Caenorhabditis elegans: one gene and its partner. The protein of the gene in region 2 purifies or fractionates together with the protein of the main gene of each other region. This does not show direct contact. Each region holds a gene or a part of one and is shown on either strand. Other genes may lie near its edges. The genes, in order: hpo-8 and paqr-2.

Region 1 (14,123 bases), on a different chromosome or scaffold from region 2:
ACGTCTTACGAGAATAGAACAAGGTAAGTGTGCTTAAAATACCAGACTAATTTTGGTTTTTTAGTTGATGTTTTCTAGGTACTGTACAACGATCGTTCAGTCATGGGCTGATATCATATTCTCTGGATCTCAAGATTTCAAAATAAAAGCGGACAATGAGACAAATCATACAAACGGAAGCATAACATTTTTTGGGTCAATTTTGATAATTATTATTGTTTTACTCTCATTCCATGTTTAACTGTCTGGAAAGTTTTATATTCTAAAACGACTTACTAACTTTTTTAAACGGCTATAAATTGCGGGTCTCTACTTTTTTTTCACCCTAACATTTAAAAATAATTTTTAACATTCATTGTACTTATTGGAGTTGAAACAAAAAAATTTTGAAATAAAAATAAAATTGCTCAAGAAGATGTAATTGGGCTTTAAAGACTATTCACTGCCATGCCATTTTTCGAGTAGTTACCACCAGGGAATTCTTCATAATTTTCTGAAACACAACTTTTTCAACTTAAAAACTATCAAAAATCTCAACTGATTGCATTCTCTGTTTGACACTCTCAGGGACAAATAACCGAACAAAAATTTCACGGAACTGCGAAGACATTATACAATAGATGATAAAAGACGTTGATGCGTTGAAAGTAAGTAAAATTTCGATAAATTGAAAAGTCCACTTTTTCACAAACCTAAAAAGCAATCTTTGTATTAAAAGGTTGAAAATAAATTACATATAATAGTCAATCATATATACTGCACTGAAAATAGTTACCGCTGCACTCGGGATTTTGACTAGAAAAAACATTATCAAAACTACTTGCAAAAGCCGCGAGGAGTTTTCGATTCCTGATCTGAAATTTATTTACATGAAATTAATTTATGACAAAGTCTATTATCGATTTTTCTTGATTAAAAAGAGTTTCTCAACTTCTCGAAACGTTTATGTATGTTTCTTGTAACTTCTTAAAACGAATTTTTGTAATAAAATTTGAATATCGGGAACCTTAAAATTATTAAAGCTTACGAGCTTGATTTGCCCATTGTTTTCTTTCTATGAGCTTTGAAAGAGTTCAGTTTGCACAGAATTAACAAGAAAAATATGAAAAGCAGAAGTAGTGGAACAATCTGAAATAATTTCGTTGAAGTCTGTAACCAATTATTCTCAACGTCAAATAGAATCCCATAAAACAGCAAAGACATCCGAAATACGATGCATCCATTTTCAATGTATTCATCAGGTATTGTCACAGCATACTTCCCAGTTAATGTTCTGAAATGTGAATTATAAAGTAAAACTAATGTTTCGTATGCATCACTTTTCAATTTCTGTAATTTCAAGCACAGCGCTGGACAGCATTCCGATGAAAATCCATAGAACAGCCGAGATTGTAACAGCAACTTTTCTGCCTTTCCATTTGTCGCTTAAACAGAAGCAAAACGCTTTTGAGTAAAAATGGTGAAATTTCTATTATAAACTAGTTAACCTGATGATAGTTTGAAAAATGTTGTAAATTATCAAGGTACCATACAAGAATTAAAAAGTACATTTGAAACATATTTTGGGTGGTTCTTGTTTGAGGTAAACGTGATAAAATTAGTAGAGACTGTAACACTATTTTTTTGAGGATAATTTTGAATGCAAAACTTTTTAAAAAATCAATTCAAAAAATTAATTCAAAAAATCTTACCTATTTGAATACAACGCCATAACTCTGCAAAATGTCATCTGCACAACAAGATAATCTGCCATTACAGGCACATACAAATTCAAAAAATTTTCTAAATAATTGTACAAAGCTCTTAAATAAGTCTCTTCCGAGAGCAATTTCAACATTTTGTCGAATAAATTCAAAGTCACACTAGAAAAGTTGCACAGGGCAATCATAATCATTGTCAAATTTATTCCAGATGTTCGCAGCTCTTTTTGGGACAATACTACTATAAAGCTAATATTACAGAAAAAGTCCAATACGGTGAAGAAAACGAGAAAATAGATATGAAGGGGGTTATATGCTCTGCAAAATTAGGAAACAATTTAGAAATCTTGGGATCACTTACTCAAAAAAACTGACTAGTACAGTTCTTAAAAAAGAATCTTCAAATAAAAATTGATTTGAATCGAGCAAATTTTGTTGACAATCCGAAATATCTCCGCGATTTTTATTTTCTGACATGTTTTTTTTTTCAAATGAGTTGTATTCCACTGTCATTTTATTTTTATATTCAGATATATGTAGGTTCAAAATTTTCATAATTACTATTTGCTTTTTAACATACTGTCAATAAGTTCTTGAGACGTTTTCAGCTGTGTTTTGTATTTGAATTTATAACAACACGTGGTATTTTTAAAGTTCTTGTACAAAGTCTAGACAAAATTTTCATAGGGTGCAGCTGCCGCATATTTGCCTCGTCGTTTTCCGCTTGGAAAACATCCGAAAAAGTAAGATTATAATACAGATGAATTTAAAATAGTCAAAATATTTTGCGCTAAATGCTAGCAAAAGTGAGATAACAATTTGACATTGTGTCAAAAATTTGCAAATGTTCGTTTTAAATATTAATGCATTTCAAGCAAGTATTGAAGCTTGCAAAATAATAAAAAAAAGCAAAATAATAAAAAATCTAACACTCAAATTTCAACAAGGTTGCTTAATTGTCCTGTTTTGATAGTTCATTTCACGAATTCAAATGGCAAATTCATCAATTCTCAGATTTTAACATTTTCCATTTTTTGATGCGATCAAGGAAATGCCACCCAAGGACGACCGCAATGTCTGTGTTTTCGTTAACTGTTTATTCCGCTTCCGTGTTTGAAAACCTCAGGGACAGTAATGATGTGAACGAGAATATGCGGAGAGACAGAGAAATCTAATTTGAGAAACTGTTCATCTGAACTAATTGAGTTGTTTAGTAAGCAGTGAAACTTTACTTTTTCACTTCTGCCTTCTCCAACGATATTTAGCACCTAGGAGGAGCTAAGTATATAGGACATAGTAGAGGATTGTCTCGGAGAGATGACCTCGGAAGTATTATGTAAGACCGTATAAAAGGCAAGGTGTGTCCACCGAAATGCATACTTCATCCAATACGATGAGTACCAGCACCTTCGTTTCTGTGGCTTCGGCCATCTCCGGTCTTGCTGTTCTCGGATGCCTCTTCACTGTTGCGATGATCTTCAACGACATCAACTCATTCTATGATGAAAAGATTGAGGAGCTCAATGAGTTCAAGGGACTCGAACAAAACGCATGGAGATCAATGATTCCATCCACTCGTCCTGTCAACGCCGAATCACTTCTTCTTGGGCGTAATAAGAGACAAGCCCAATGCAACTGTGGAGCTCAATCTCAAGGATGCCCAGCTGGACCACCAGGACCACCAGGATACCCAGGAGCCCAAGGAGAGCCAGGACTTCCAGGAATCGCTGGACAACCAGGATCTGGAGCTCGAGTCAACCCACAAACCGGCCGTGACAGTTTCTGCATCACTTGCCCAGCCGGACCACCAGGACCTGCCGGAACTCCAGGAGCTCCAGGAGCCCCAGGAAACGCTGGAGCCCCAGGACAAGATTCCTTTGGAGGAGGACCAGGACCAGCTGGACCAACAGGACCTACCGGAGACGCCGGAGCACCAGGACAGCCAGGGCATCCCGGATCCCCTGGAAACCCAGGACGTGGAGGGCAACGCAGCCGTGGACTTCCAGGACCATCAGGAAGACCGGGACCACAAGGACCGGCTGGAGGACCAGGACAGCCAGGACAATCTGGTGGATCAGGCACCCCCGGACAACCCGGAGCACCTGGAGCACCAGGGCATCCGGGACAAGCAGGAACTCCAGGAACTCCAGGAGCACCAGGAAATTCTGGAGCCCCAGGAGGAGATGCCGGTAAGAAACAAGTCTCATGACTATAAAAATATTTTCAATTTTCAGCTTATTGCCCATGCCCAGCTCGTTCTGCTGCAATGGCCGCTCGCAAGCGCGTCTTCAAGGTTGCTCGTTCCCGTGCCGCAGTTGCCAAGCGTCGTGTCGTCAAACGTGTCCGTGTTCAGAAAGCCTAAATTTCTGGAATTACCTAATGAAAAAAATAATAAATCATTCAACATTCAATCCAGTTTCCTGTAGTCACAAGAAATCTTGCCAAACAACGATTTTGAGATAAAACCTTTCAAAATAAGACAACACAGAAAGTAGGGTCCTGCAAATGTTAATTTGACCTTTTCATGATCATAAGACCCGGTTTATTTTCTGTTCTCTTCTCACTAAAAAGTTGTTTGGTCACCAAAACGGTTTCAAGGTCTGTCTCCTCGAACACGGAAATTGGCAACGTACACTAATTGGAAATACGGAAAAATTGAATCAAAAAAGTAGTACACTGGTTAGTACTCTCTTACTTTTACACAATCTCTTGAAACCCATCTTCAAATTGACAAGTTCACATTCAGAAAAACACTGCCCATCGAAGGAAGAGATGAAAACCGTTTTTGCGGTTTTGTGAATCTATAAAAGGTGAGACAAGCAATGAGAATAGACACACATTATCGAGTCAAACGATGAGTGCCAGTACTCTTGTGACTGTGGCTTCGGCCGCTTCTGGTATTGCTATTGTTGTCTGTGTTTTCACAGTTGGAATGATCTTCAATGACATCAACTCATTCTACGATGAGAAGATCGGAGAGCTCAAGGAGTTCAAGGGATACGAGCAAATCGCTTGGCAGGCAATGATCCCAACCACTCGCCCATCATCCGGATCATCATTCCTTCTCGGACGTAACAAGAGACAAGCTCAATGCAACTGTGGCGCTCAATCCCGTGGATGCCCAGCTGGACCACCAGGACCACCAGGACAGCCAGGAGCTCCAGGAGAGCAAGGACACCCAGGACTTGCTGGACAGCCAGGATCTGGAGCAAGAATCAACCCAGCTACCGGAAGACCAGGATTCTGCATCACTTGCCCAGCAGGAGCACCAGGACCAGCTGGACCACCAGGAGCCCCAGGACCAAAGGGTAACAACGGGCAACCAGGAGCCCCAGCTCAATCCGGAGGACGTGGACCACCAGGACCACGCGGGCCAGCCGGAGATGCCGGATCACCAGGACAGCCAGGACACCCAGGATCGCCAGGAAACCCAGGACGTGGAGGACAACGAAGCCGTGGACTTCCAGGACCATCAGGAAGACCAGGACCACCAGGACCAGCTGGAGGACCAGGACAGCCAGGACACTCCGGAGGAGCAGGATCTCCAGGTCCACAAGGACCACCAGGACCATCCGGACAACCAGGACATTCTGGAAACGACGGAGTTCCAGGAGCACCAGGAAACCCAGGATCCCCAGGAGGAGATGCCGGTAAGCAAAATCTCAGGAACAAACACATTTTATTTTGTTTTACTTTCAGCCTACTGCCCATGTCCAGCTCGTTCAGCTGCTATTGCTGCTCGTTCCAGAGTTGCCGCCCGTTCCCGTGTCGCTGCTCGTTCCCGTGTTGTTGCTCGTTCTCGCGTCGTGGCTCGCAATCGTGTTGCCGCCAAGAGACGTGCCGCTGTCAGAAGACACCGCGTCCAGAAGGCTGTTGCCTAAGTGGCAAAATGCCGCCATTCTCTTTAATAAATTCATTTCATTTCAAGAATTTTCTCAAAAACAAAACACAATTAAATTTAAATATTGAACCAGTACAATCCTCTATCAGCCGTATGGAACTGGTAATATTGATATCTATCCAAGCTCGAATCATCAGGGCTGAAAAATTGAAAATTTTACGTTTATGAGAAAGATAATTAACTAACTCTTTCGTTTCCACTATAGATATTGAAGCCATCAACATGAAGCTAAGTACATAAATCGAGATAAGAAGAATGACTGAAATTAACAGAAGAAGATTTATGAAAGCTGTTCGGTTATTACTTACTGCATGGAACTTCAAGAAAAGTGATAGGTGCCACAAAATAATTCCACATTTGCAAACGATATTTTTCATGAAGATATTTAAAATCTTCCAGATCATTGCCAGTTCTCTGAAATCCTTTCAATTTTTGACTAAAACCAACAGTAAAACCTTACATTCGCGACAGTTAGACTCAACTCTCTAATTTTACTGGCCGCAATGGATGCCTGAATTCGATCCCTCTGAAATTATACTGTATTTTACAAATAAATATAGTGTAATCCCACTTCAAAACCACAGTAGAAGCATTCTACTTTTCCAACCACACACAGATTAACTATTTTCTCGATTTCTCTGAAAAAGTAAAAAAAAAGTTTTAAAGAAATTAAAAAATTAAGAAATTAAGAATTCAACTCACAGTTTATTTTAGCAATCCATCCTTTAGTGTTTTCCAAAAATAATACCTCTAAATTGTCACACTGAAATTTAAGAGGTTAAACAAAACAACAAATTTTAACTTTTGCTCACTAATTCTTTGATTGGCGTATGATAATCCACAGTCAGTTTAAGTTGATCTTTCATCGCATCTATCGAATTTAACACTCGCACGTATGTTTCATCATTATTTTTCACTGAAAATGTTTAACCGTTTTTGTGGTAGATAAAAATTCAAATAATTTAATTTCTTGAATCACTTACATAATTCTTGTGGATTTAATGCTAAAAGCTCCTCGAGAACAGTTTCATCAGTTGACTTTAGAAAATCCCTTAAACTTAATACTTATAGAGTGTTCTATTTTTTACTTTAATACCGTAAATTGAAGAAAGAAGTTCCATTTGAATCTGTGACATTCAGTTTCCCAATAACTTCTAAATCCGTGTCTCGTAGAACATTCAGGAATAGACTGTGAGAAGCACTACTAAACAGAATCACAATAAATGACCAGATGAGCGCCCAAATTGCTGCGAGTTGAAAGATGTGATTACATAATGTCAGAAACGAACCGAGCGGGACAGCTGCATTGTTTTCTGAAAATAACAAATGATTTGAAACATCCAACCTAGTAAACTTACTTTCCAAATAATCGTGCCCTCGGTATATGGCTAAAAGAGCAAGCAGCGAGATGAAACACGATGGAGCAAATAGACAAAGAAGAATATAAAACGATGTTGAAACAATGTAAGGACTCTGAAAAAATGTACTGGTTTTCATTTCTAATCAATTCTCACCGGCAACGTGAACAGGTTTTCTATACTTGCATATACGTCTTTCAGAAGAATTAGTCGTTCTTGTGCTGCTTGTTTTATCAATGCAACATCCGATCTGCCATGTACCAAAACATTAGTTTTTATTTTGTCAAGTGCCACTGGAAAATCGTTCCAATATCGGAAAACCGTAGGATCAGGTATATTTGACTCTGTCTGTAAAAATGTTCTAATGTTTGAATCGCTTTTACAAATGCTATAAAAATCCAGAATGCCCCTTTTTATTTGGAAAACAGCGTACTTGACGTCATTTTTTCTGAAAATTAGGTAGACACATGTTCCAGAGGTGAATTGAGACTAGCGAGTAGACTTAACGTGATACAGTAAAGATAAGAGAGTTATATTGATGGGTTACTGTATGTGAGCAAGTTAGAACATCTCTTTTTGTATTTCAACCCAACTGCTCACCAAAAAGAAATCAGCTATGCTCCAATTTGATATTTTCACTTTGTGTGTTCCAAATCCACATACTCCAACAGTTGCATTGCAATCTTGCTTAAAGTGATCAAAAAACCGTTTAACAGTGTTCAATATATACTGAGGAGGTGGCACATTCTGAAAATAGTTTTAAATTTTCAGTTCCTTGAGAAACAAATACCTGGAGATGATATCTCTTTATCTTGTTGTGTAAAACTTCAACTTCATCCAATTCAGAATCAATTTCCTCAATATAACACGCGAGTCTTGAGCTAACCAAATCAACTGTGCGTGTGTATTCTGAATAATTCAATGAAATTTATGATCAGGAAACAAATGTTCTTTGAACTAGACATTCCATCCGGTCGGGGCGCCGTTCAACCTCCCTCCTCTGTACTGACCATTCATAAACTTTTCCATCCTTTTTGATCTATCGTCATACACATTTACATAATGTTGTATCCAACTGAACGTGTCGAATGCATAATAACTGGTGAGCGCAATAAAGAGAAAGTAAAATAGCATCAACACACTTTTCAGATAGAATCCTCGATATGGCTGAAAATTTTTTGTCAAATGTGGCCTGTGTGGCGCTAATATGCTTCATATTTGAAATTATACCGCTATTAACAAATCAAATTGAGAGCGGGAAAACTTGAAAGTGCAAAATGTGTAGATTAACCAGTAGAGGTAACATACTGCAACTGCTATGTAGAATAGTGTTGATTTCTGAAAAAAAAACACAGGTCTTTGAAAACAAAACCAAAAATTATACTCGAAAGATTCCCAATTTGGAGTATTCGAAAGTGGTAAGACTCTGATTGGTAATTATTTTTTCTCCTGCTTTCTGAAAAGTATGAAAAATTAGGAAAATTTATAAGTTTGCAGCTTACCAGCAGAACAATATCCTCCATTTTTGTGAACTCTTCAACCATATTTAAAAATGTTTTTGGGGTGATAGAAGTTTGAATTTCTGATGTTAAGTCTGGTGGCTGATGGTCAAGTCGATAACATGCCATCTCGGGAATTACATTTGAATATATTTTTTGTATGCATAATGCTATAATTATTGTCTGAAAATATCAATTTTCAATCTAAACTTCTTAAGACTTTATTTTAAAAACTCACAACAGTTTTCCACATAATTAGAATTTTCATACAATAACATTTTTCTAGCAATTTCCTACGCGTTTCCAACGTTTCTAAATTCCAACGCGATGCTATCCGTTAAGTTCACGTCGTTTACTTTTTTCTGGAGGCGTTGCCCATTTTGCATCTTCTTCACATTTCTTCCTCGTTGAAACTGGTTTTGAAATAATAGGACACAAGTCAGGGATTGATAAACCAAGATGACCCTCTCGATTCTCTATGCTATATCCTCTGTTACCTAGTAACCGGTAGAATTGTATATAAGGTAGGTTCCGTTACATACAACTTCACTCTCATCTGCAGAGATGAGCGCCAGTACTCTTGTGACTGTGGCTTCGGCCGCCTCTGGTATTGCTATTGTTGTCTGTGTTTTCACAGTTGGAATGATCTTCAATGACATCAACTCATTCTACGATGAGAAGATCGGGGAGCTCAAGGAGTTCAAGGGATACGAGCAAATCGCTTGGCAAGCAATGATCCCAACCACTCGCCCATCATCCGGGTCATCATTCCTTCTCGGACGTAACAAGAGACAGGCTGAATGCAACTGTGGAGAACAATCCCGTGGATGCCCAGCTGGACCACCAGGACCACCAGGACAACCAGGAGCTCGCGGAGAGGCAGGACTTCCAGGAATTGCTGGACAACCAGGATCTGGAGCAAGAATTAACCCAGCTACGGGAAGACCAGGATTCTGTATCACTTGCCCAGCAGGAGCACCAGGACCAGCTGGACCACCAGGAGCCCCAGGACCAAAGGGAAACAACGGACAACCAGGAGCCCCAGCTCAATCAGGTGGACGTGGACCACCAGGACCACGCGGACCAGCCGGAGATGCCGGATCACCAGGACAGCCAGGACATCCAGGATCTCCAGGAAATCCAGGTCGTGGAGGACAACGCAGCCGTGGAACTCCAGGAGCATCCGGAAGACCAGGACCACAGGGACCAGCTGGAGCCCCAGGACAGCCAGGACGTTCTGGAGGAGCTGGAACTCCAGGACCTCAAGGACCACCAGGACCATCCGGACAACCAGGACATTCTGGAAACGACGGAGTTCCAGGAACCCCAGGAAACCCAGGAGCCCCAGGAGGAGATGCTGGTGAGTTTCTCGAAAGTTAATTATGTTATATTTATAATCGTGTATTCCAGCCTACTGCCCATGCCCAGCCCGTTCTTCTGTCATGGCCGTCAACCGCCGCGTCGCTGTCAATCGAAATGTTGCCCGCAACCGTGTTGTTGTCCGTCACCGTATCGCAGCTCGCCGCCGTGTTGCCGTTCAACGCAGAGCTCGCGTTCACGCACAGGCCGTCTAAGCAACAGTCATTGTTTAATAAATATTCAGCATACAATTTTTGATAATTTCATATATGTACATTAGCGAACAATTGGAATTCTAGATATAATCAAAGCAAGATGAGCAAACACAGCATTTCGATTCTCTTTTATAACTTCGTCTAGAAGACCTTCTTCACTGGATAGAACATCCTGAAATAAAGAGAAAAAATAATGGAATAAGTTGTTTTGAATTACCTTAAAGAATACTTTGAGTTCTTCAATTTTCTTATTTTGAGCCTTGTGAGAATCAATTGTCGCTTTCCTTGTCTGTTGTTCTCTCAGAAGCTGATCTTCAAGAAGTGACGTCATTTTTTGGCACTTGTCTGAGTTTTGAAGAGCTTCGTCTAGCTATAAGTTATTATTTTGCTATATTTATTTCAAAAGTTTCAACACTTACTTTACTATTCAATTCATTCTCAATTTGAATATATTTCTCGAGAGTAGTTTTTCGTTTATTCTCCGATTCTTCCAGTCGTCTCTTACTATCTTTCAATGCCTTTTCAGTCTGGAAAAGACTAAATAAAAAAGTTAGGAAGGAAATAACTCACAGTCTGGCCACTCTTTTCCAAAAGACTCCGTAATTTTAAATTCTCTTCTTCACGTTCCTGAGTTTTTCCTATTTCTTGCGTCAATTCGGATTGTTTCTCCTCGAGCATTTGCTCCATTCGTAACATATCTTGCTTCTTTCTGGTAAGTTCTAATTCCAAATGTTCAATTACTTGATTATTCATCAGAGTGTGACCTTTGCTCTCCAGACTTGCTTCAATACGGATCTCAGCAACAGCTTGCTCGAACTCGGCGCTCAAATCTGCACGAGCTCTGGAATTTTCATTTAATTCTCTAGATGATTTGCGACGTGACAATATAAAAGTACGAGACTTTAGTGGTCGAAAAGGACCAAGTATTTCTTTTAAACAACCAGATGCTAAATGAGTCTGCATATTTTTTTTTCAGAAAATGCAATTTCCATAGCTTGGCAAACTCGGTAACTCCTGATATTAAAGACAATTTTTTGGAACACAAAAAACGATACTTGTGTTGGTTTAGTAGGTTTTAGGAACTGAAATATATATTTTTGACTAATAATTTTTGTTGCAAAATTTTAGGGAGCCGTTCAGGCGTGTAGGCTCTAGGCAGACGCAGACAAATAGGCACGAAGGCGAGCCCATCTACCATCGTAACCCCTCAATTTATACAATTTTTTGAAACCTACTGCTCAATAGCTGCAATTTTGACGCTTCTTTCTTCTGCTTCTTTTCTTCGAATTGTCTCTTCCTGTTCATCAACGACACCTTGTAGAGAATTCAGTTTTGCACCCATCTCAATGATTTCTAGCTCGATACGATGCTGGTTTCCCAGTTGTGTATCTAAAAATTTTGAAAAAGTTTTTAATTCTACTTTCACTATTCTCTTTTCGGCCTACCCATAATGCTCATTTCACTCTTTAACTTTTCAATTTGCTCTTTCAATTTCTTCTCTTCTAATTCAGAATTATCTCTATGAATTTTAAACATTCTATCTGATTCTTTTCTCTGTTCTTCCAACATTTCTTCCAAACGAGCAGTCTGAAACAATGCTCGTTCTTTGCCTTTTTCTCTAATTCCTCTCTTACCTCTTCGTCTTTCTCTTCAACCAATTTTTTCAGATAAATAATCACATCGTTCGACTCGAATGTTAAATTTGTCAACTGATTCTCGGTCGCCTCATTTGTTACTATCATTTCTGCGATTTTTTCCTGAATGAAGCATAAAATTTAAAGTAATTTTGATAATATTTTCAAAAATTAAAACCACCTGCAGTAACTCTAACTGTTCCTCGAGAGGTTTTTCATCAGAATCCTGGCGTTGTTTAGAAATCATAGTTGTGAGTAACTAAAGTAATACGTAAAAGAACTCAGAATGTCTAGAGTTCAGATCAGTCAGCCATAAAATTTCAATTTCCGTCCATGGTGCAACAACTAATTTCCTGCGTTTGCTTAAATATAAATAAGTCTTCTTTAGTTTCAAAATTACATTTAATATTTTAATACAAGAACAAAAAAAACTGCTTCAAGTTCCTGTTCCTGTTCCACAAAAAATTATTTTTTAAACTGTCCCCAAAAACGCCCTGATGTAGATTTACGATAAACAAAGCGCGAAGGGTTATTTCGGAGTGTTGTAGTCAAGAAAAATGTTTCTTAAGAATTAAAATTTTAAAAATTATTTTCTTTCATTTTCTTAATTTAAGTGATTTATTTCTAGATTTTTTGATTAATTTCCAATTAAAAAACTGAAGTCTTCAATTTTTATTAAAAATAAATAACCTCGCTCTCATAATTTTTCTGAAAAACTAAGAAATTTACATTTTTCCTGTATCAACCAAGATATCGTATGAAGATTTATATATTTTCAATTAAACTTTCGAATTTTACCAATGTTTTACATTACATAAAATGTCCCATTTTATGTTTTCGCTAAATGTTTCTTCAAACTCCCCGCAAGTTGACTGATAACGTTTCTGTTGTACATCACTCCATTCTACCCTTTCATCTTTTTTTTCGTGTGGCGTGATATACTTTTCTCATTTTCTTTTCTTTGCATTGCCTAAAATCCTTATTTTTGCAGGGTAACAATGAGCGTTCAGACGTATCTGGTTGCGTACAACGTGTTACAAATTTTAGGGTACGTTTTTTTTTCTGAAAGAAGTTCACTATAATTTTAATAATTTAAATTAATTTCAGATGGTCTGCAATTCTTGTGAAAACAGTTCTTGGACTCGCTAATGGCTTGACATGGCCACAACTTTACGAATCGGTGGAATTTGAGCTTAAAATCTTCCAAACCGCAGCTATTCTCGAGGTTAGCTTTGTTGAAATTGAAAAACTTTTAAAGAAATTATCATATTCAGGTCATTCACGCAATTGTCGGACTTGTTCGTTCACCAGTTGGAACTACCGCAATGCAAGTAACATCTCGCGTCGTCCTTGTCTGGCCAATCCTCCACTTGTGCTCAACAGTGAGTTGGAATTTTTTATCTTAAACTTGAATAAATTAAACCAATTTTTAGGCTCGCTTCAGTATCGGAGTTCCACTTCTTCTTGTTGCCTGGTCCGTAACAGAGGTCATCCGGTACTCGTTCTATGCACTCAGCGTATTGAAACAACCAATCCCATATTTCCTTCTCTACCTCAGGTATTTTGAGATTCTGGGGATCAATGCTATAACTCAACTATTTTAATTACAGATACACCCTCTTCTACGTTCTCTACCCAATGGGAGTCTCCGGAGAGCTTCTGACGTTGTTCGCTTCATTAAATGAAGTTGATGAGAAGAAAATCCTTACCCTCGAGATGCCAAACCGTCTCAACATGGGAATCTCCTTCTGGTGGGTGCTCATCATTGCTGCTCTCAGCTACATTCCCGGATTCCCACAACTTTACTTCTACATGATCGGTCAAAGAAAGAAGATTCTCGGCGGAGGAAGCAAGAAGAAGCAGTAAAGAAAAATTCTACGTGTATTTATATTACAGTGTATTCTAGATTAATTGCAACCAATCAAAATTCAACTTTATTCATAAATTATTCTCCCGTAATGTCTTCTAAAAAAACAGTCACCCGAAAATCAGGATGGTGGCGTCATTTGAGCAAGAGCTTCGGCCTTTGCCAAATAATTCTGGTATAAATAATAACACCAATATATGAGATTCAGAAAACAAAACGACAATGGAAATGCTTTTCTGCAGAATTTGTCGACATTTTGTGCAGTCCATTTGGTATTTTCGTCATCGTCATCCGTGAGGAGTCCTGGAAAAGTAATATTTAGAGAATAAACGATGCACAAATTTATTTAAAAGTACCGAATTGTGCGAGAGCGTGCAAAGATTCGAACATATTGTTCGCTTGTCGAGAAATTGAAATTTTATGGCTTGTAGTCCCGTTCTGCTAAAAGATAATACATTTAAAATAATAAAAAAAATCAATAATCTCACTGAAAAAGGCTCATCATAATTGCTCCTCAAGTCGCTCTCTGCTGCATTTGCATTGGTTACTGTAGTTGCACCATAGTTATTTTTCTTTCTGTCTTTTTTTCT
Region 2 (17,651 bases):
CGGTACTTGTGTATTACATGCCCTCATTTTTAAATTAAATTAAATTTTCATTAATTTCTCCAATTAAATTAAACGTGATATACATTTTTCCTAATTAGGCTTAGCAAATGTTATTTCCTAAGCCTAAAAGTAAAAAATGTGGTTCACGTTTTTATTTTCCATAACTTAAAAATCTCTTTTAAAATGAGGGCATGTAATAATACACAAGTACCAAAATCTCTAACTAACCAATTCCACGAGACGCTCCAGTGACAATAGCTATTTGACCGGCGAGTGACATGTTTTCTGAAATACTGAAATTGTCTTTAATATACCTTTAATTCGTAAAAAAAACGCGTGAAATCAATAATTCCATGTGAAACAAGAAGTAAAACAAGAGAATAGGGAGTGTTTTCAATTTCACCTGCTCACTGAGCACGAGTTTCTAGATATTTCATCAAAATTTTCTGGAAAATTCTGCTTTCTTCTATCAAGAAAACATTTTGAACAACCAAAAAAAAGTCAACGATTAAAAGAAACCTTATCACATAAAAGAAAAGAAACTGCAGTGGACACAAAAAAAGAAAAACTGAGAAAAACATTTTTGGGAGAATAGGAGGGACGGCAGAAATGCGTAAACAAGAGTCTTCGTGTGAGCGTATAAAACAGCAAGAGATAGGCTATAATGTAGTCTACGTGTATTTGTAGTGAACGGCCGTGATGACAATTAATGTTGACCTTTTTGTGTCTCAAAAATGATGAAAATATTGGACTGTGTTACATCAAATATTATTAGAAATAGAATTAACAATTTCGAAAAAAAAAACTATTAATTATGCAATATTCTGCGATTTTTGTTTCAAAAACAATGTAGCGATCTCGAAGCGATCGATTTTTCTGAATTCATAAGAGAGTACTGTAGTTGATAACTTTTCGTTGTTGCGGGATTTTCTTCGATTTTTTCTAGCTTTTCTCCTATTTCTTCAAAATTAGGTGTAATATTTTCACATTTTTGGAAACTACAGTACTACTAAAGGCGCACACTTTTCTGCGTTTAAGAAAATCGATCGCTTTGAGACCGGGTAACGTATTTTTAGAGCGCAAATCGTAGTATTTCGCAGCGGGGTAAAAAACATTTTTGTTTTCAAAATTTTCAGTATTAGAATCGTCTGACAAAATATAATTAGACAATTTTTGAAAATTTCAAAATCTAATAGTAAGAAAACTCATGGATCATTCGATATTCATTTCGAAAACTTGAAAAATATAGTAGGGAAAATTGAGAAATTGAGAGAACAAATAATAAATAAATTCGCTTACGGGGGAAAAGGATTTTATACAAGAATTCAGATTTTTTGGTGGAAACTTTGAAAAAAATGAGAAAGAGAGCAATTCAAAGGAAAAACAAAAATATATGATTGCACACGGCATTTAATGTATTTGCTAGTGTTCCATATTTCCACCGGCACCAGCAGCAGCAGCAGTAGCTTCTTCTTCATCATCTTCGAGTTCTGGATGATGCTTCAGAGCAGCTCCCTCGTTATAATGAGCACGTCGTTTCTTCTCGAAATCGCGACGGTGAGCTGTAAGAGTCGTGTTTTAAATTATGGAAATTTTGTACGCTTCGATTTAAAAAAAATTGAAATGACAAATATCAAAATGTTCAGTGAATCTAGTTTTTTTTCTAGGAAACCCATCAAAATTGATTACATTCCTAAAATAAATAATTTTTTAAAAATTTTGAAAATAATATCATTAGTAAATGGAAGATTTTAGATTAAAAAAAAACTGAGCCAATTTTTATGATCAGTTTAGAGAAAAAAACGATTTTTTAAAATTTAAATTATGTTGAAAAATGATAATATTGAGATTTGACCTTTTTATATTTATAAAATCTAGATTTTTTCAAAGAATTCGATTATGTTTCCAAATTAAACATTTTTAAACTCAAAAATAAGATTTTTGAAAAAATTCAACAATTTTTCTAAATTTTTTGTTGACAAAATTTTTAAAAAAATTTCTAAGAAAAACCAATTTTTCAACTGTATTATATCATTAAACTGATTTTTCTGGAATTTTTCCTTTATAATTTTTTTAATCAGAAATAACTATTTTTTAAAAATCTTTGAAGACAAAAGCTGTCCAAATAAGTTTTTTTTTAATTTCACAAAATTTTTTGCTCGAAATTACTAGACAATTTCTTTAAATAATAAAAATCGGTTTTTAAAAGGATTTTTAATTTACAATTTTTAGAATATTTTTGTGAATTTCTTATAAATTTTGATTTTTAATATACTTTTTTTTAATATTTCAACTAAAATGTATTTTTCTTCAATTTTCAATTCCGTACCACGTTGTTCCTCTGTCAAATCAGCCTCGTCCTCGGAATCTTCAGCGGAAGAAAGTGATTTTCCACTCTGGAAAAATAAATGAAAAATAAATGAGAGAACACATAAAGAGCTCTAAAACCTCCGGATGAGCAAGTCCTTCGGCCACTTTTTCTGGGTCAATGGCATTTCCGAGTGATACTCGTCGTGGTCGAGTTGTTGGTACTCCAAGTACTCCTTCATCACATTCACTTTCACCATCTGAATGATGATATGGGGTCTTTGGTTCATCAATCTGCAAAATTCAAAGTTTTTGAAAATGGCAAAATAAAATTTAATAGCAATCTGAATATGTTGAAACAATTTAAAGTCAAATAATTAAAACAAACGTTCATGGGAAAAATACGTTAAAAGCTAATAATTCTAGAAAAAAAATCAAAATGATTGACTGTCGGAAAATCCTTTCATAATTTTTCATTGTAACTTTCTAAAAACTCTTGAATTTTTAATAACTTTTTATTTCGCTTATTCTATAATTACTTTTTAGTGTGAATTCGCATTTGAATTAACTTTTTTTTGGGAAAAAAGCTGTAATAAAATTAACTATATTTTCAACAAAAAAAAATTAGACGTTTTTTAAATCATATATTTTCGATAATTTTCAGTTTTGAGGTGTTTTTTAACAATATTTGTTCATTATTATTCAAAGTCCTTTTCAATGAAAAAAGTTCGGTTTTTTGTTTAAAAAACTAATAAAAAGGTAGTTTTCTGAAGGAAATTTTGTTTAGATGTAAAAAAACAAAGTTATTTTTCCCAATTTCATTTTTTTTGTTTCAATTTTTTAGTTGAAAAACTTTTCGAGGACGTTTTTTTCCCAAAAAATTCCCATATTTCATCCAAATTGTTTTTTTAAGGGTCCCTCTTGAGGAAGAAGGAAATATTTTTTGCAGCCACAAAAGAAAGCACATGCTAAAAAAAATAACCTTCATGCTTCCATAATCCTTGTCAGTTGGATGATAAGTGGCAAGAATATTCATTTCATCAAAATGTGCACGACCATCTTTGCCCTCAAGCGATGAGTCTTGTTTCATCTTAAGAATACTCTTCTTTGGCTTTCTTTTCAGAAACTCGGCTGGATCATCAAGACAAATCTTTCCATCGGCTGTCAGTTTGACGTCGTCTGCAGAAGCGGAGGGTGATGCCATTTTCTGAAAATAGATGGAGAATTTATTTTTTAACTAGGTTCGAAAAAGTGAATAGGTAAAAAAAGCAAAGCAAAAAGAAATCGTTTTGAAACGTTAGTTATCAAATTACTATTTAGAGGTACTTGTCATAAAAAGTTTTTAAAGTTTCTCAAAAACTTAAGAATGTTTTTTTCAAATATTTTCGAAATCAAACATAAAATGTTTTTTTGCTAATTTATCTTTGTAGATTATTTTTTCCTCATCACTTAAACTATTGGATAATCTAAAATACATCAATAATTCTTTTCCATATATATTCCCGTAAACACGACTGAAATAGCTAGAGACACAGCGTGGTGAAAAAGTAAAAGCATGCGAGCTGTAATCTAAAAGGAAATTAATTAGAAACGAAAAAACTGGCTACTCGCCTTTTTTGCGCGGAACAAAGATGTGATTGTTGCAGAGAAAAGAGTCAAGAGAAGCTAGTAGATCCTACATGATTAATGACTTTGCATACTTTTCGTCTTTTTTTTTAGCATTGAGCTCTCGAATATTTGCGAAAGAAACCTTTTTTTCACTAAATGATCAGAACTTCGAATGATTGAATCACCAAATTATGTATTTTCATATATTTTATATTCCCTCAGTGATCAGTAGTTGGTGATCAACAACGTAATTATCTTTTTGGTCAGCTTTTGATATATTATCCGGTTGGTTAAAAACCGAAAGATGATGTCGAAAATAGAAAAAAATAATTTGAAAAATGTTGAATGTGGCATGAAAAAGAGAAATCGAAGCCCTACCATATATATTTTTAAAAAAATATTTTTCTCTCGGTCAAAATTAAAAAATCAGGTCAAAATGTTCTAAATCTGCAAAAAAGTAAGTCTAGGTCTTAGAGAAAATAATAATTTCTAGTGCCTGGTTCGTCGAAATATTACACCATTTTAATGATTTTTTGAACTAAAGTTCTTAAAAATTAATTTTATTCATCAAAAAAATATTTGAAAGTTATGTAAATGATTACTTTTATAAATTTCTAAAGCACGTACTAGTACATTTCTGAAGAAAAAAAAAAGAAATAAGGGTGCGAAGAACTGACACTTCAGAAAAATTGAGTCCAAGAAAGGACATCAATAAGTTTAATATTTAAACTAATTTTTAAATATAAAGTAACAATTATAGTGAGTGGGTGGGTTGGGAGCAATTATTTATCAAAACTTTCAAGCTCAGCAAAATATATTGAGTAATTTCAGATAATTGCAGCCTAGAACTAGCAATTTCAGTTTGAGATTTCAAAAACATCAAAATCAAATTTGAAATGAAATGGCACGACGGCAAGAAAATTCCAAAAAGAGACTCCGCCCATATATTGGCTACCAAAGTGTTTTTAATCTAATTTTTCGTATTTTCAGTCATATTCTAACTAATAATATGACTATTTAGAGCCTCGAAAGTGGTAGGTCACCTTAAAGAAAACATTCTTCACGCACAAATGTTTTTTTGACAAATGGAAGAATAGAATGAGTGAAAACAAGTTGGAAGAAGAGTAACGAGTCCAAAAAACTCTTGGGTGGCCGCATTTTATTCTCCGTCTAAGGCGGCTAGAGCCAACGAAGAGCCAATAATGCAATTGGCGCCTCTCCTCAGCCTGTGGGGCTCTCTGAGAGAGCGTTCAAGCGAAAAAAGAAGCAAGGCCATAGGGGGAAGAACATTTTTCGTCGAAGCCAGCAGGCAGCTGAAAAAAATTGACAAAACGAGAGAAAGCTCAGAAGAATCTGATAGAGATCCCCCACACACTCCGGAAGGGTCAACTGACTTGTGAGTGACATCACAAGGGGAGACGCCAGCCAAGAGTATTGACACAGTCAGGACTGTACGTAAACTTGTTTGGTTTGCCGCCTGTCCTCTTTCTCTCTCTCTTTTTTTCGGAAAACCGAACAAAAAGCAATCATAATAATAATCATGTTCTTTGATCTCTGATTATTTATCCATAGCAGAAGCCGTTGCTTACTTCAAGTAGTTGTAGAAGAAGATGAAGAAGAAGAAGACGTGATGATAATAACATGTACGGGAGGAGAAGAGCCTTCGAAAATGAAAAATGTAGACGGAGGGTGCGGAGGAGACCTAGAGAATGTTTTCGTCACCTTTCAGTTTTCACGGAGAGGGGTAATGTGGGGAAGCAACGATGTTATTTGCAACGTGGCCAAATTTTGCGGTTGAGCTTTCATTTTACGGTCACTTATAGACAAACATTTCAACTATTTTATGCAGAAGGTAAAGTTTGGCAGAAAAAAAACACAGATTTTCCGACAAAAAACCGGAAATTAGTTGGAAATCCTAGATAAGCTGCCTCAAATTTGAAATTCCGCACTTTTTTAAAAATAAATATCTGAACAGAAACTATTGTTGAACTGATTTTCATTCGTTTTGAAAATTGAGTTTCTAAAAACCGAAAATGCTGTGGAAATCGTGGAGATACACGTTTCAATACCAAAAAACGACCACCTTCAACGGATAAATCCGAAAATTGTATAAGGAATAACTAGAAAATGCTGCGAGAATGTTCTTTGAAATGGGCTTCACGAAAAGAAAAAGAACATCGAATTAGTGTGTATCTCTGTGTCTGTGTGTTCACTCAATCAATTTCACTCGGTCTACATTCGACATAGTCTCGCAAAAACACAATCCCCCGACATCACAAAAGGTTTCCACTGCGCGTGTTTCACTGAAAATATGATTTCACACAGATGTGAATTTCACGAGGCTGATTTACGGTATTCGGTCTCGAGTCGAGTGATGCGAAAAAGATATTGCTCCTTTGAAAAGTACAGTAGTTTTGCAATTTCTTTCAATTTTTCTTGTTTTGCTTTAAAAATCAAAATGAGATTTGTGCAGTAAACTGTAGAAAAAAAATTTTGATTTTAAATTAAAAAAAAAACAAAACAGCGAGGAGGACAAATTACTTTTAAAGGCGCACACTTTTATTTTGCTTTTTTGCGATTAAAAAATGCATCATAAATCGCAAAATGTATCATTTGAACAAAATAATGTATAACTGTGGGGTGCCGAAAATTGAGGCAGCTGATTCCGGAAATAGAGATCTGCGCCATTCGGTCAGAAGACGAAATAACACACAAAATAAATTGGACAGACTATTTTTAGTGCCATGGTAATTTTGAACAAAACATCGAGAATTTTTCTGAATATTACTGGGCAATTTAGAGAAAACTTGACCGCTGAAGGAAACAATTAAACATTTTGTTTTTTAAGTGTTTTCTTAAAATAAAATGCTGAAACAGTTATTTTATTCAATATTCAAAATTCACAAAGGCCTTCCAAAACTGACGGTTTTCCCCAATTTCCAAGTTCTTTAGAAATTGTGAAAGATTTTTGTCGGTTATTTTGAAGCAAAATCCGGAAAATCGCGAAAAGATTCTAATGATTAATGCTTAATCCTTTTGAAGGAAGAAAAATATTATCAAAATATATAAACTGGCATGTGAAACGTGGCTTATTTTTTATTTTGTTTTTTATTTAAGCTCCTCCCATTCCTGACCTTTCGTTGAAATTTTCATTTATTAGTTTATTAAAAAATGGGAGGAGCTTAAATAAAAAACAAAATAAAAAATAACCCACGTTTCACATGACAGTTTATATATTTTGATAATAACAAAATATTATTTTTCATTTTGATTCAGGAAATTTTCAGGAGAATGGGAGGAAAGTTGGAGCTAATAAATCGAAAATTTTGTTGTTTTTATCAGAGCAGAGACAAGAAATTGTTAGAATGCGGCGACCCGAAAGAAAAAAGAAAGAAAAATAGAATAAAAAACTGAGGAGCAACAAGTGAACAATGTGAGAGAACAAACTAGCCGCAGAGGGTGCAGACATGCATACAAGTGTACGAAGAGAACGGAGACTCTGCGTGACACACAACTCTGGCACTGGAATAATTTTTTGGGGCTGAAAACAAAAAATTCTAAAATAAACAAACAAATCTGAAAATTTGTCTACTTTTGGTACCGTACTCCATTTAAAGGGACATTCTACTATAGTATGCGTGGGTCTCGCAGAGATACAATATTTAATCCCTATTTTCGTAGATGCGCCTTTCAAGTTACTGTACTCGAGATTGTTTAATAAAATTCCTTAAATTATCGACTTCAAACCAATTTCAGATTTCAGCACTTCCTGATCGCCTGAGAACATTGAAAAACCAAAAATCTGATCAAATTTCAAGTAAAATGAAGAAAAAGGGTGATTTTGCTAGATTTTCACCTGCATGGTGTGGAACTACGAGTTTTTTCTGTAGAAAACTGATGAGAAATTGCAAGATATGTGATTTCGTGAATGTTTCGCTAAAACTCTTAAATTTCCGCTATTTTACAGACACTAGCGCTTGGTAATTATGCCGACTTCATGAATTGTTCGAAAAATCACAAAAAAAAATCGAAAATTTTATTTTAAATCGCCTAGACGACTACACTCACACGAAAATAGAATAATGGGCTACACAGTAAAATGAAATTCATAAAATACGAAAAAGAAAAAAAAAACAAAGCTCGAAAAGTTCAATGTTAAAGTTTAAAAAAACCAAATCTGGTTCCGAGAAAATGAAGGAGAACGCGAAAACAAGAAAAGAATAATAAGAAAACTAATTTCAATGGAAGAAAACGGAACGAAAAGGGGGAATAAAATGAAAAAAGGAGTGTATAGAATTTATCACATTGGAATTTTAGCTGAGAATGTTTCGACAGATAGTTGAGGAGCGTGGGGAAGGGGAACCAGGTAATTTGAAAGAAAATGGAAAAAAAAATGGTGAAAATGAGCAGAAAAAGGATAGTATGAAGAGGGTTGTAGCAGCTTCAAGAAGAGCATATATACGCAACTATACATATTGTGCAGAGGTTTCTGAAAATTATAAATTTTTTAAAAATAAAAAATTGGAAACAAATCTACCTCATAAACCAACATCCGCCGGTGTCCAGTCTCTGACATTGAGTGGCTCGTCGAGCCCAAGCAAAGTGCCAACGAAGGAAGGATTCAACTCGTTACCGTAACGAGTTTTCAGTTGATCCGGGCAGGATCCTTTCATGAGCTTATGCATTCCCATTTGGGAGATCGCGTGATAATGAACAAAAGCGGCGAGCACGACAAATGTGTGAAAGAGTTGATGCGATTGGAACTGAAAAAATAAACGTTATTAGTTTTTTTTTGAGTAAAAAAGATTGTTTAGCTTTTATTTTTTGAGTCTTTTTCGTATTTTCGTAAATTTTCTTTTGCAAAATGTGGTTTAAAATCTTTAAAGTTATGTTGTCTGGTTTTCCGGAAAACCGAGAATTGAAAATATATATTTTTATATTTTTCTCCAATTGCTAGTTTTTTTGAAACCACATACCCAAATATCGCACTTTCCAGGGAAACATCTCTCAGGTACACGTGTCGCATAGAGTGTTGCACCACCAATATACATGGCTCCCATCATAATCATCAAATGAACTTGTGACTCCTCAACCATATAATGAACACCGTCAACTACAAGTAAATGAAATGCTGGGACCACAGCCGATAGGCCCATTGCTATGAAAACTGCTGCTCGTACAGGCCGGAATTTGGGCTCCGCGAATTTATCCCAAAGCGAGACGACCATTGCAGCGATTCCAAGTATAATAATCATTCCGTTGTATATTATCATTGGTTGAGGTCTACAGTAGAATGCAAAATAGATCCACGGAACAAATGATCCAACGATGAGTAAGGAAATCCCAGTGTAATCGAGTTTACTGAACAGTTTAGCCATTTCAATAGAATGGCATGCAACCGTATGAAAAAGGAATGACATTCCAAGACATATCACTGCACCGAGGAAAAACGCCGAGTAGATCAATTTCTCCACCCATTGCATTTGATCATGGGGACGAGTCAGAAACCATATTCCGATACCGAAGAACGCAACACATCCATACATATGAGTCCAAATGTTTCCTGTTTCAGTGTGCAATGCAAAAATACTCTTGAAGCAGCTACTGAACGATGGAAGTGGAGGACGATGTCCTGTACGGAGGTATTCGTTATCTTGAAGCCATTCGGGTAGAGTTTCGAAATTTGTTGCCTTCCAGCGGGCTTCCCAGAACTGAAAATAATTTTGTAATATTTTTTTTTTAACTTTAATCGTTTTTTTTAACCAAAAAATTATTCTTTAAGATTTCTCATAATTTCAAGTAATTGTCTTGCAAAAAATATGTAGAAACTTATCAAAAATGTATATTTTTGAAAATTTTCTTATCAATAGCTCACATGTGTGCAAAATTTTTTGGCTCCTAGTACAAAGAAAATTTTGAATGTAATCAGAAAACTTTTAATAGAAAGAAAAACCAAATCAAACATTTTCGGAGATTCGTGAATTTTCAAAACTTATTAGAAATGTTTTTCTCTACATAATTTGTTTAAAGCAAAATTGCCGCCAATTAACATTTATCGCTGCATTTTTTGCTTTTTTTTGTTGCAATTTTGCAATTATCTCACTGGAGTTTTCCCTCACCCTCTTGATAACAGCTCTTGGTCCTTCTCCAGTTTCGCTAGGAATAATAACTTCTTCTTCATTAATCTCAACTTCAAGCTCATCATCATCATCACTATGATCCAAATGAATCTCCGCATCATGTCCAGCAGTAACAAATCTCAAATGTTTTCCATCTTCGTGTCCCCGACGTTGTGGATGTAATTTGTATTTGACAATTCGTCGACGATGCTGATTTCCACCTTCTTCATGATTATCATGAATAACTGCAACTGTCATCTTTTCTCCTTTTGCATTCGGCATACTCCATGCTCGACGATGTCCTTTTTTGAATGGTAATGCGGCTGCTTTAGACGTTGATGGGACATCTCCATTGTCAATTTCGATTCCTATAGAAATCATTTAGTAATAGTGTAGTTTAGTGAAAGGAGGGAAGTATTTTTGAAAAAAACGAATGAGAACACTTCCTGTCACCTAAAATTAATTTGAGGTGACGGTCAACAAGTTTTTTTTTGGTTGGAAATTTAACTTTTAATTCACTAATTTATTAAACGAGAGATCGGTGTAAATGATGCGATTTTTGGTTTATTTCGTTACACTGTAAACAAATAGTAAAAAAAAATTTTTTTTTGAAAATGTTCTCATAAATTGCGCAAAACTCTTATTTTTTGTTTGGTTTTGCTTTAATATCAAAAGCTCAAAAGAAATATTTTGTTTTGTTTTTATTGAACATTTTTAAAAATCGATTTTTTTACATTTAAAAGCCTTTTTTTCTTGAACTCTAACCTTTATGGGAATTAAATTGGATAAATCGATAATTTTTGAAAAAATTGGTTTAGATTTTTATTTGGAACATCATAAATAATGTAAATGTGTGAATTTTTTAATTAGAAACATTTCTTCAAAAATTCCATTTTTATGGACGAATTTTAATACTTCTCAAGAAGAATTTGTGGGAATGAACTATGAAATGAATATCAAAAATCGGTTCAAATACAAAAAGCATGTTATGCGAAATATTAAAGTATTTTTCGCACTTTAAAAAAAAATCATTTTTTTCAATAACCTTACCTTCAAGCAAAGTTGGAAGCCTATTCTGCCTTGTCACATACATTGATTCGTCTCTTTGCTGACTTGCAGGCTGTTCAACAACCTTACTATGACGAACAATAATCTCAAATCGTTGACCATCTGATGGCTGACTATTCGGACTGAAACAATGTTTTTTTGGAAGAAAAAAAAATCTGATGATTATTTACAATTGAACATCGACTTGATCAACAATCACATTCTGATTCTCTTGTGTATCAGCCAACTGCAGCGGTCCGTCAGTGATAATATTTTCTGCCTCTCGGAGCACATCCTGCAATGCACTTTTCAATTTTTCAAAATTTGATTTCTGATCACCGTAAAAATAACATTTGTCATATGAGGGCAAGCAGTGATAAATATGAAAACACGAAGTGGCTGGCTGGAGCTTGAAGAATGATATTCTAGCTTTTTTAATATTAAATAAGAATTAGCGGTAACTGACCACTAAAAAAATAGGAAAAGGTTTCAGAAAAATTCTCACTATTTGTTTTTATTGGTTTGCAGGAAATTCAAAAATAATGCCGTTAATTTTTTTTTGTATATCTGAAAAAACCTAAACTTCAGAAACTTTAAAATTTTTATACAGCTACAGCTTTAAATACCGAGAAAAAATTTCAATTTTTTTTTGAAAATAGAAGATCTGAAATAGTGGAAAATTACCATTTCTTTGAAAACACTTTTTCTTCAAAAAAACATCTCCAAACAGTGAGAATTTCTTAAAACTTCTAGCTCCAGCCACCACTCACCGACAACAAAAATCAATAATCATATGCTAATCTCTTTCAACCCAACAAAAAACGTACAGTAACACTCCGCAATGGGCTTTGTAGATTACTGCTATTCCGATTTTCCATAATTAATTCATCATTGTCCAACACCATCACCATATCTCTCTGAAATGTAATAAATTAAAACTAAAAACTGTGTTTTTTTTCTTTTTTCATAGAATAGATCACGTGAAATAGATTACCTCGTCAAACGAATTTCGAACGCTTTTTTGCAAAAGTTTTTGCGATTCCGCCGGTGTTGCCGATTCCACGTCATCTTCCTCCATTTTGTTAAAGCTGAATTTTAGTTTTTAAAATTTTTTTCAACCGAGAATATAAGAAATTCCAGAAAAAAATCAAATAAAATCGGAACTGTGAGAGAATAAAGCGGATATTGATTAAAAAGCTTTTGCTCACACATACAAACCAAAAGCGCAAAGTTTTCTCCGTTTTCTCAAGAAAGCTTATGAGACAAGAGGGCGACTCGTGCTGCTGGAATGTGTGTTGGTGCGGGGAAGCGCATTTGCTGACCGGAGACTCAGAAGAGGTCAAAGTACTCCTGCATGAATTGGATCCAATGTAGTGAAATTATGACTTCCTTGTTTAAAATATGAGTTTCTGAAAAATTTGTTGAGTATTTTCAACGAGCTTTCAAGTTAAAACAGATTTTTTGTGTTTCCCGATGTAAAGCTCCAAGACGTGTTCGAAGAAATGGCGGAAAAATCGGCGGAAAAAAATTTGGGAAGTTACGCGAATTTTCCATGAAAAAAAGATTCGAAGGCAATTTTTCATATAATTTTTAAATAGTTTTCAATTTAAGTTATCGAAAATTGAGGATTTTAATGTTTTAAATGAAGAAAACACCTGAAAAACCACAAAACTTCGCTAAAAATTAACAAAAGATAAACGAAAAAGACACAATTGATATTCGTGATGAGACCCAAAGTGGAAGTGGTATGTGCCTTTAACAACTCGTTACGGTATTTTGCTTCTAAACTTTTTTTTGAGTTCTTTTACAAAAAGGTTTTCGTAGATTTCTAGTTTTCAGCACTGATCAAACTCATTCTAATTTTTTAATGCTTCGAAATATGCAAAAAAAAACTCCAATTATTTACAAGAAGCAACGGAAACAGCTAAACTTTAGAGCCCGTGCCGAGACCCGTCCTGGAAATGACATGCGCCTTTAAAACTACACTACGGTAATTTGGATCAATATTTACTTTCTCAAAAATTAATGTTTTCTTATTATTTTGGCAGTCACCAATATTCTTTAAAAAAAGCGAATTTATTTATGAAAAATGTTGAAAAAATAATACAAATATACAAAATATCTTTAAAATGCAGGAAAATTCAATTAAAGCTCGATATATAAACAATTATTAAAATATAAATATTTATATTCAAATTTTATTTCGACTTCTTATGTTTCTCTTCGACTTCATTATCATCCGAAGAGCTCTCAGATCTATCGTCTCCAACTTCCGATTCTTCGGTGTCTTCACCACTCATTCCAGGAAGATGCTTATCCATTTGCAAAAGGAGTTCGAACGAAAATTCCACAAATCGCTCCATAGTTTGCTTATCTGAAACTCAACATTTTAACAATAATCATTATTACGGTATGATACCAGTGTCAGTTGTATTGAAAAGTTCGACTTCAGTAATTTGCCTAGCTCCCAAGATTTTCATTCGTTTCAGCAAAGTTCTGGCGACTTTATTGAACCCAGCTGGCCCATCATCACTGCTTCCGAAGCCAACAATTGAAAATCTGATTTTCTCGAAATTCGCCTTCTTTCTAAGCTTCGAGTCCGCTGCGAGATCCTCAAGCCATTCCAAAAACCATTCTGTCGAGGGTGTCGGCTGACCACCAGCCGTAGTTTCAGAGATAAAAATACAAAATCCCTTGAAGGCCATTAACTCCTTCACATCCAAAGAGTCTGACCACCAAATCATCGGTTTTCGGACCATTTCATCACAAAGCTTGTCGTGAATCACCTTGGCCCACGGAGCTGCGAGCCCGTCTTCTTTTCCTAGAACTATTACGACGGCTTCTGATTCGGCAAGTTCCTCGGCAAGTCGTTCTTCTTCTTTTTTCTGAAAGAAATTGGAAGTCGTGGCGAGACCAGATTTTTGTTGATTTTGTTTTCCACTATTACCAACCTTTGAATAACGTTCATAATATGCATGGCACTTGCGATAGAGCAGATAGACAAATCCCGGCATCAGAACTCCCAAAGCGGCAGTTATGTATAGCAGAATCTCGTCCTTTCCTTCCAAATAATCCTCGAGCCACGACTGCGGCTCCTTGCCACGTGGACCTCCTTCAGGTCGCAGTGGTGGAACTTGGTAGGCACACATTTGGATATTTTACTGAAATTCGAGCAATTCTCAAATAAGATAATAATAAAAAGATTCAAAACGTAGACACCGATTTAGTTTTGAGAGAAGTGTCTGCGCCTTTAATATAGCCATTTTCTTCATTAAAAACGTACCAAAATTACACCACAACACATCATGCAAGGAGCACCACACAGCAGGCATCTAAGTAAAAAAAATTGGAAAAAAAATCAAACTGGCTAAGAAAAAGAAGTAATAGAACTGGACAGTGAGACCAGCATTCCGAAAAAAAATTTAAAAAGTTGAAAAGCAGAAAATATTGTTGAACATTTTTATTAGCAACAGTTGAAAAATGCGTAAAACCCAATGAAACAAAAAGAAGATCTCTAAATACTAAAACTATAAAATCTTAAAGCTACTCTGAAACTGTACAATTGAAAAGGACGATTTTCGCAAAAAAGTCCACTATACGAGAACATTTAATAAAAACGGTCTAGCGCATTGGAAGAGATCAAGATCCGGATCCAGAGATCGGCCGAATCCTTCGAGAACCATTACAGACAGGATTACTGTAGTGAAAGCCGAGTCGAGCTCCACTTTGTGCTCCGCCACAATTGTGAACATTTCTGAGAGAAGTGCCGAGATATTGAGCTGAAAAAGTTTATATTGATGAGGGAACTTTATTTGAAAAATTTCAATTTCAATATATTTCGAAACTAAAAAACCTATAATTTCTTGAGTTACTGATTTTTGAAACAAAATCGGAAATACATAGTTTTGATTTAAATTTAGTTTTCTAAAATTTCAAACTGTTCGAATTTGTTAGTTTTCAATTTTTTTTTGTATTTTTAAAACAAAAAACTAAACTAAAACTCTTTCCGATGTCAATTTTTGAAATTGAATTTTTCTTTGACAATTTTCAGAAATAATTCCAAAATTTTATACATTTTTTCAAGATTTTACGATTTTTTTAAATTAAAATTCCAATTTATAAATTAAAATTTGAAACATTTTCGTTTAAAACGCACAGTTCTCAAGCTCTTTTCGCTTCTGGCCTTCAACACAAGCTTTTCCACTTGTCGGCAAAACCTTTCCGGATCATTGCACTGTTGGAAGGGGGATTGATGAAGAAGAAGCTTCCCGACATCGTATCCCCGTTTCTCCACAACACTTCTGAAAAGCGATTTCAAATTGTGCAAATTTTTCGGTGTTTCGGAAATGGCAATTCCAGTGTCTAGAAGGACCAGAGTAGGCTCATCTTCAAGATCCGGAGAGTCGGTGAAACGAATTCTTGGAGCTGAACGCAAGTTTACCAGTGAACGAAACCATTCCAGCTGCAAAAATAATTATTATGATCCATCAGATTTTTTTTTGTTTTTATCTTGCACTTGTCAAAAAAATCGAAATATCTACAGTAACCCGTACCCCTCTTTTAAGTGCACTGTCTGCTTTCGGCGCCTTGTGTACTCCTCTGAGATTATCTTCATTATCATTGAATCGAATCAGAATGTTTCCCGGATGCAGGTCACCATGCACAAAATTGTCGACGAAAATCATTTTGAGAAGGGCTCGGGCTCCGAGCAAAGCAATTCTCCGTCGAACTGCTTGTGATTGTCGGGCGGTTAGCTGAAACTGATTGAATATTGGAGGGAATCCCGAAAATCTATTTTTTCTATATTTTTTAAACGTTCGATTTTATTTTTAGTAACCATTTCGAAATCAATAATTTTTAAAAACAAATAACGAAAAAATGTTTCGTTTTCAAAAATCTAAAAAAATACCTTTTTTTTTTGAAAATCTATCTTCGGATTTTTGAAAAATAATTTTTTTATTGGCAAAATTCTAATTAATTTTTTATTTTTAAATTTACGCAATAAAAATTTGAAAAAAAAAAGTTTTTTTGCAAAATGAATTTTTTAGAGTGGAAGTTTATTTTGGAAAATTATTTCATATTTTTTCTACCAAATCTCCAATTTCTAACCTCTGGCTGTCCTTCCTCTGCAACCAATCGATTAATATAAATTCCTTCTTCAAATGTTTCCACAATTACATTTTTAGTATATCCAAGCACAATTGGAAACTTAATTCCAGTTTCTTTTGAACTAAAATTGTCTGAAAACTTCTTCAAAGCCTTCGCCTCATTTCTCAAGTCAACTTGTCGCCGAAGTACCATTTCAAATTGTTCAAGTGCTCCAGTTGGATCCAAATACCAAAGAGCCGGTACAATATGTTGCATTAACCATGCTCCACTTCTCAGAATTGAAAGATCCAATTCAATTTGCTTATCAACATCTTTATCAGCCACTTTAATAGCAATCCGTTGTGTTGTACGTCCTTTAAGCTCTGGGTATTCCTTTCCAGTAGCCTTCTCAAGTTCAGAGATATCTACAGTACCTCGATATACTTGTGCAATACATCCTGAGCCAATTGAAAATGGTTCAATCTCGAGAAATACTTGTTTTCCATGCAATTTCATAAATCCTTTTCCAAATACTTCATTCATTACTTTTTTCTTATCACGGAAGAATCTCTTGTTTTTAGTTTGAATATGAAGCACGGAGAGCTGAAATTGAAAATACAAATTGAAGATGATTAGAAAATCAAAATCTCACCCGATCACAAAACTTTTTTGTGAAGATGTCCCTTCGTGTACTTGCCCATTGTCCTAATTTAATAAAAGTTGGTCCAGAATGTTGAAGAGACCACAGAAGATATCTCCACCAAAGATTCTCGAATGCTTCTATTTTTGTCAGAGGATAAGTGAGAAGAATTGGAGAAAATCGAAGGAATAAGCTAATGCATCTGTAATTATTTTATTTTCTTTTTTTCCAGGAAATCATATTTTAGCATTTTTATTTTCAGATCAGAGATATAAAAAGTTGCCTTTTGGAATATTTGTACAATTAAAAATTGAAATTTATTTTTTTTCATTGTAACTCCAAATTAAAAAAAAATTGCAAGACAATTTTTTTCAGAAAATTGCTCACCTGAACATTTTCCTTATTGCTTTATAAGTGACAACGATCAATGTAATCGGTAGAGTTATTATGCCCATCATCGTTGATTTTTCCACTACGACTTTCTAAAAATCTTGATATTTTATGGGATTTTTTTCTTCGAAAAATTAAAAACTTATGCAAAAAAATTGGATGTGAAGAATAAAATTCTAGAGTTTTTGCGTAATTGAAAGTTTTAAAATCATTTATAAAATTTTGAAAGTTTGAATATTTAACTTTAAAATTCGATCTTACTTTCTGTGGAACAAGAAGCCATGGATCTTGATGCTCTGCTTCACATTTTAATGTCCGTAACCTTGTTAAAGACACAGCTCCACCCATTCCGAGCACAATTCCTAATTTAAAATTTCTAGAGCTCACGGCTCTGCTGTGAGCCCAGCACCTGTACAAAATTAACCTCGTCGACCCGAATATCATGTCTCTGG

What was found.
Region 1: the proteins of paqr-2 (region 2) and hpo-8 purify together in Caenorhabditis elegans (affinity purification with western blotting; one study listed by BioGRID). This does not show direct contact.

What each region holds. Positions count from the first base shown.
Region 1 is NC_003283.11:6,826,632-6,840,754, forward strand, and holds hpo-8 (Very-long-chain (3R)-3-hydroxyacyl-CoA dehydratase hpo-8), read left to right. Parts: upstream 1-12,657; 5' UTR 12,658-12,664; coding exon 12,665-12,714; intron 12,715-12,773; coding exon 12,774-12,891; intron 12,892-12,940; coding exon 12,941-13,048; intron 13,049-13,099; coding exon 13,100-13,224; intron 13,225-13,276; coding exon 13,277-13,532; 3' UTR 13,533-13,623; downstream 13,624-14,123. Other genes in the region: T15B7.8 (Nucleotide-diphospho-sugar transferase domain-containing protein), read left to right, coding at 1-23, 79-241; dmsr-15 (G-protein coupled receptors family 1 profile domain-containing protein), read right to left, coding at 440-493, 539-692, 735-854, 1,028-1,128, 1,171-1,273, 1,320-1,424, 1,692-2,018, 2,062-2,255; col-141 (Nematode cuticle collagen N-terminal domain-containing protein), read left to right, coding at 3,073-3,889, 3,935-4,062; col-142 (Nematode cuticle collagen N-terminal domain-containing protein), read left to right, coding at 4,555-5,350, 5,400-5,581; T15B7.14 (Chloride channel CLIC-like protein 1), read right to left, coding at 5,659-5,740, 5,788-5,860, 5,910-6,015, 6,062-6,127, 6,173-6,239, 6,300-6,364, 6,414-6,517, 6,585-6,652 and 10 more; col-143 (Nematode cuticle collagen N-terminal domain-containing protein), read left to right, coding at 9,023-9,818, 9,869-10,032; T15B7.15 (GRIP domain-containing protein), read right to left, coding at 10,094-10,204, 10,250-10,402, 10,452-10,559, 10,603-10,873, 11,268-11,421, 11,478-11,619, 11,667-11,789, 11,848-11,913; lgc-54 (Ligand-Gated ion Channel), read right to left, coding at 13,655-13,836, 13,890-13,974, 14,022-14,121. UniProt on the Caenorhabditis elegans protein: Catalyzes the third of the four reactions of the long-chain fatty acids elongation cycle. This endoplasmic reticulum-bound enzymatic process, allows the addition of two carbons to the chain of long- and very long-chain fatty acids/VLCFAs per cycle.
Region 2 is NC_003281.10:5,367,761-5,385,411, forward strand, and holds paqr-2 (Adiponectin receptor protein), read right to left. Parts: upstream 12,170-17,651; 5' UTR 12,160-12,169; coding exon 12,076-12,159; intron 11,999-12,075; coding exon 11,909-11,998; intron 11,377-11,908; coding exon 11,273-11,376; intron 11,225-11,272; coding exon 11,085-11,224; intron 10,403-11,084; coding exon 10,035-10,402; intron 9,627-10,034; coding exon 8,892-9,626; intron 8,679-8,891; coding exon 8,454-8,678; 3' UTR 8,453-8,453; intron 8,405-8,452; 3' UTR 7,939-8,404; downstream 1-7,938. Other genes in the region: dhs-9 (Dehydrogenase/reductase SDR family member 1), read right to left, coding at 229-280; szy-2 (Protein phosphatase inhibitor 2), read right to left, coding at 1,423-1,562, 2,330-2,396, 2,449-2,601, 3,290-3,511; Y32H12A.6 (Flavodoxin-like domain-containing protein), read right to left, coding at 13,280-13,455, 13,501-13,966, 14,033-14,230; Y32H12A.7 (ABC1 atypical kinase-like domain-containing protein), read right to left, coding at 14,675-14,860, 15,238-15,543, 15,635-15,841, 16,191-16,772, 16,822-17,011, 17,197-17,291, 17,461-17,643.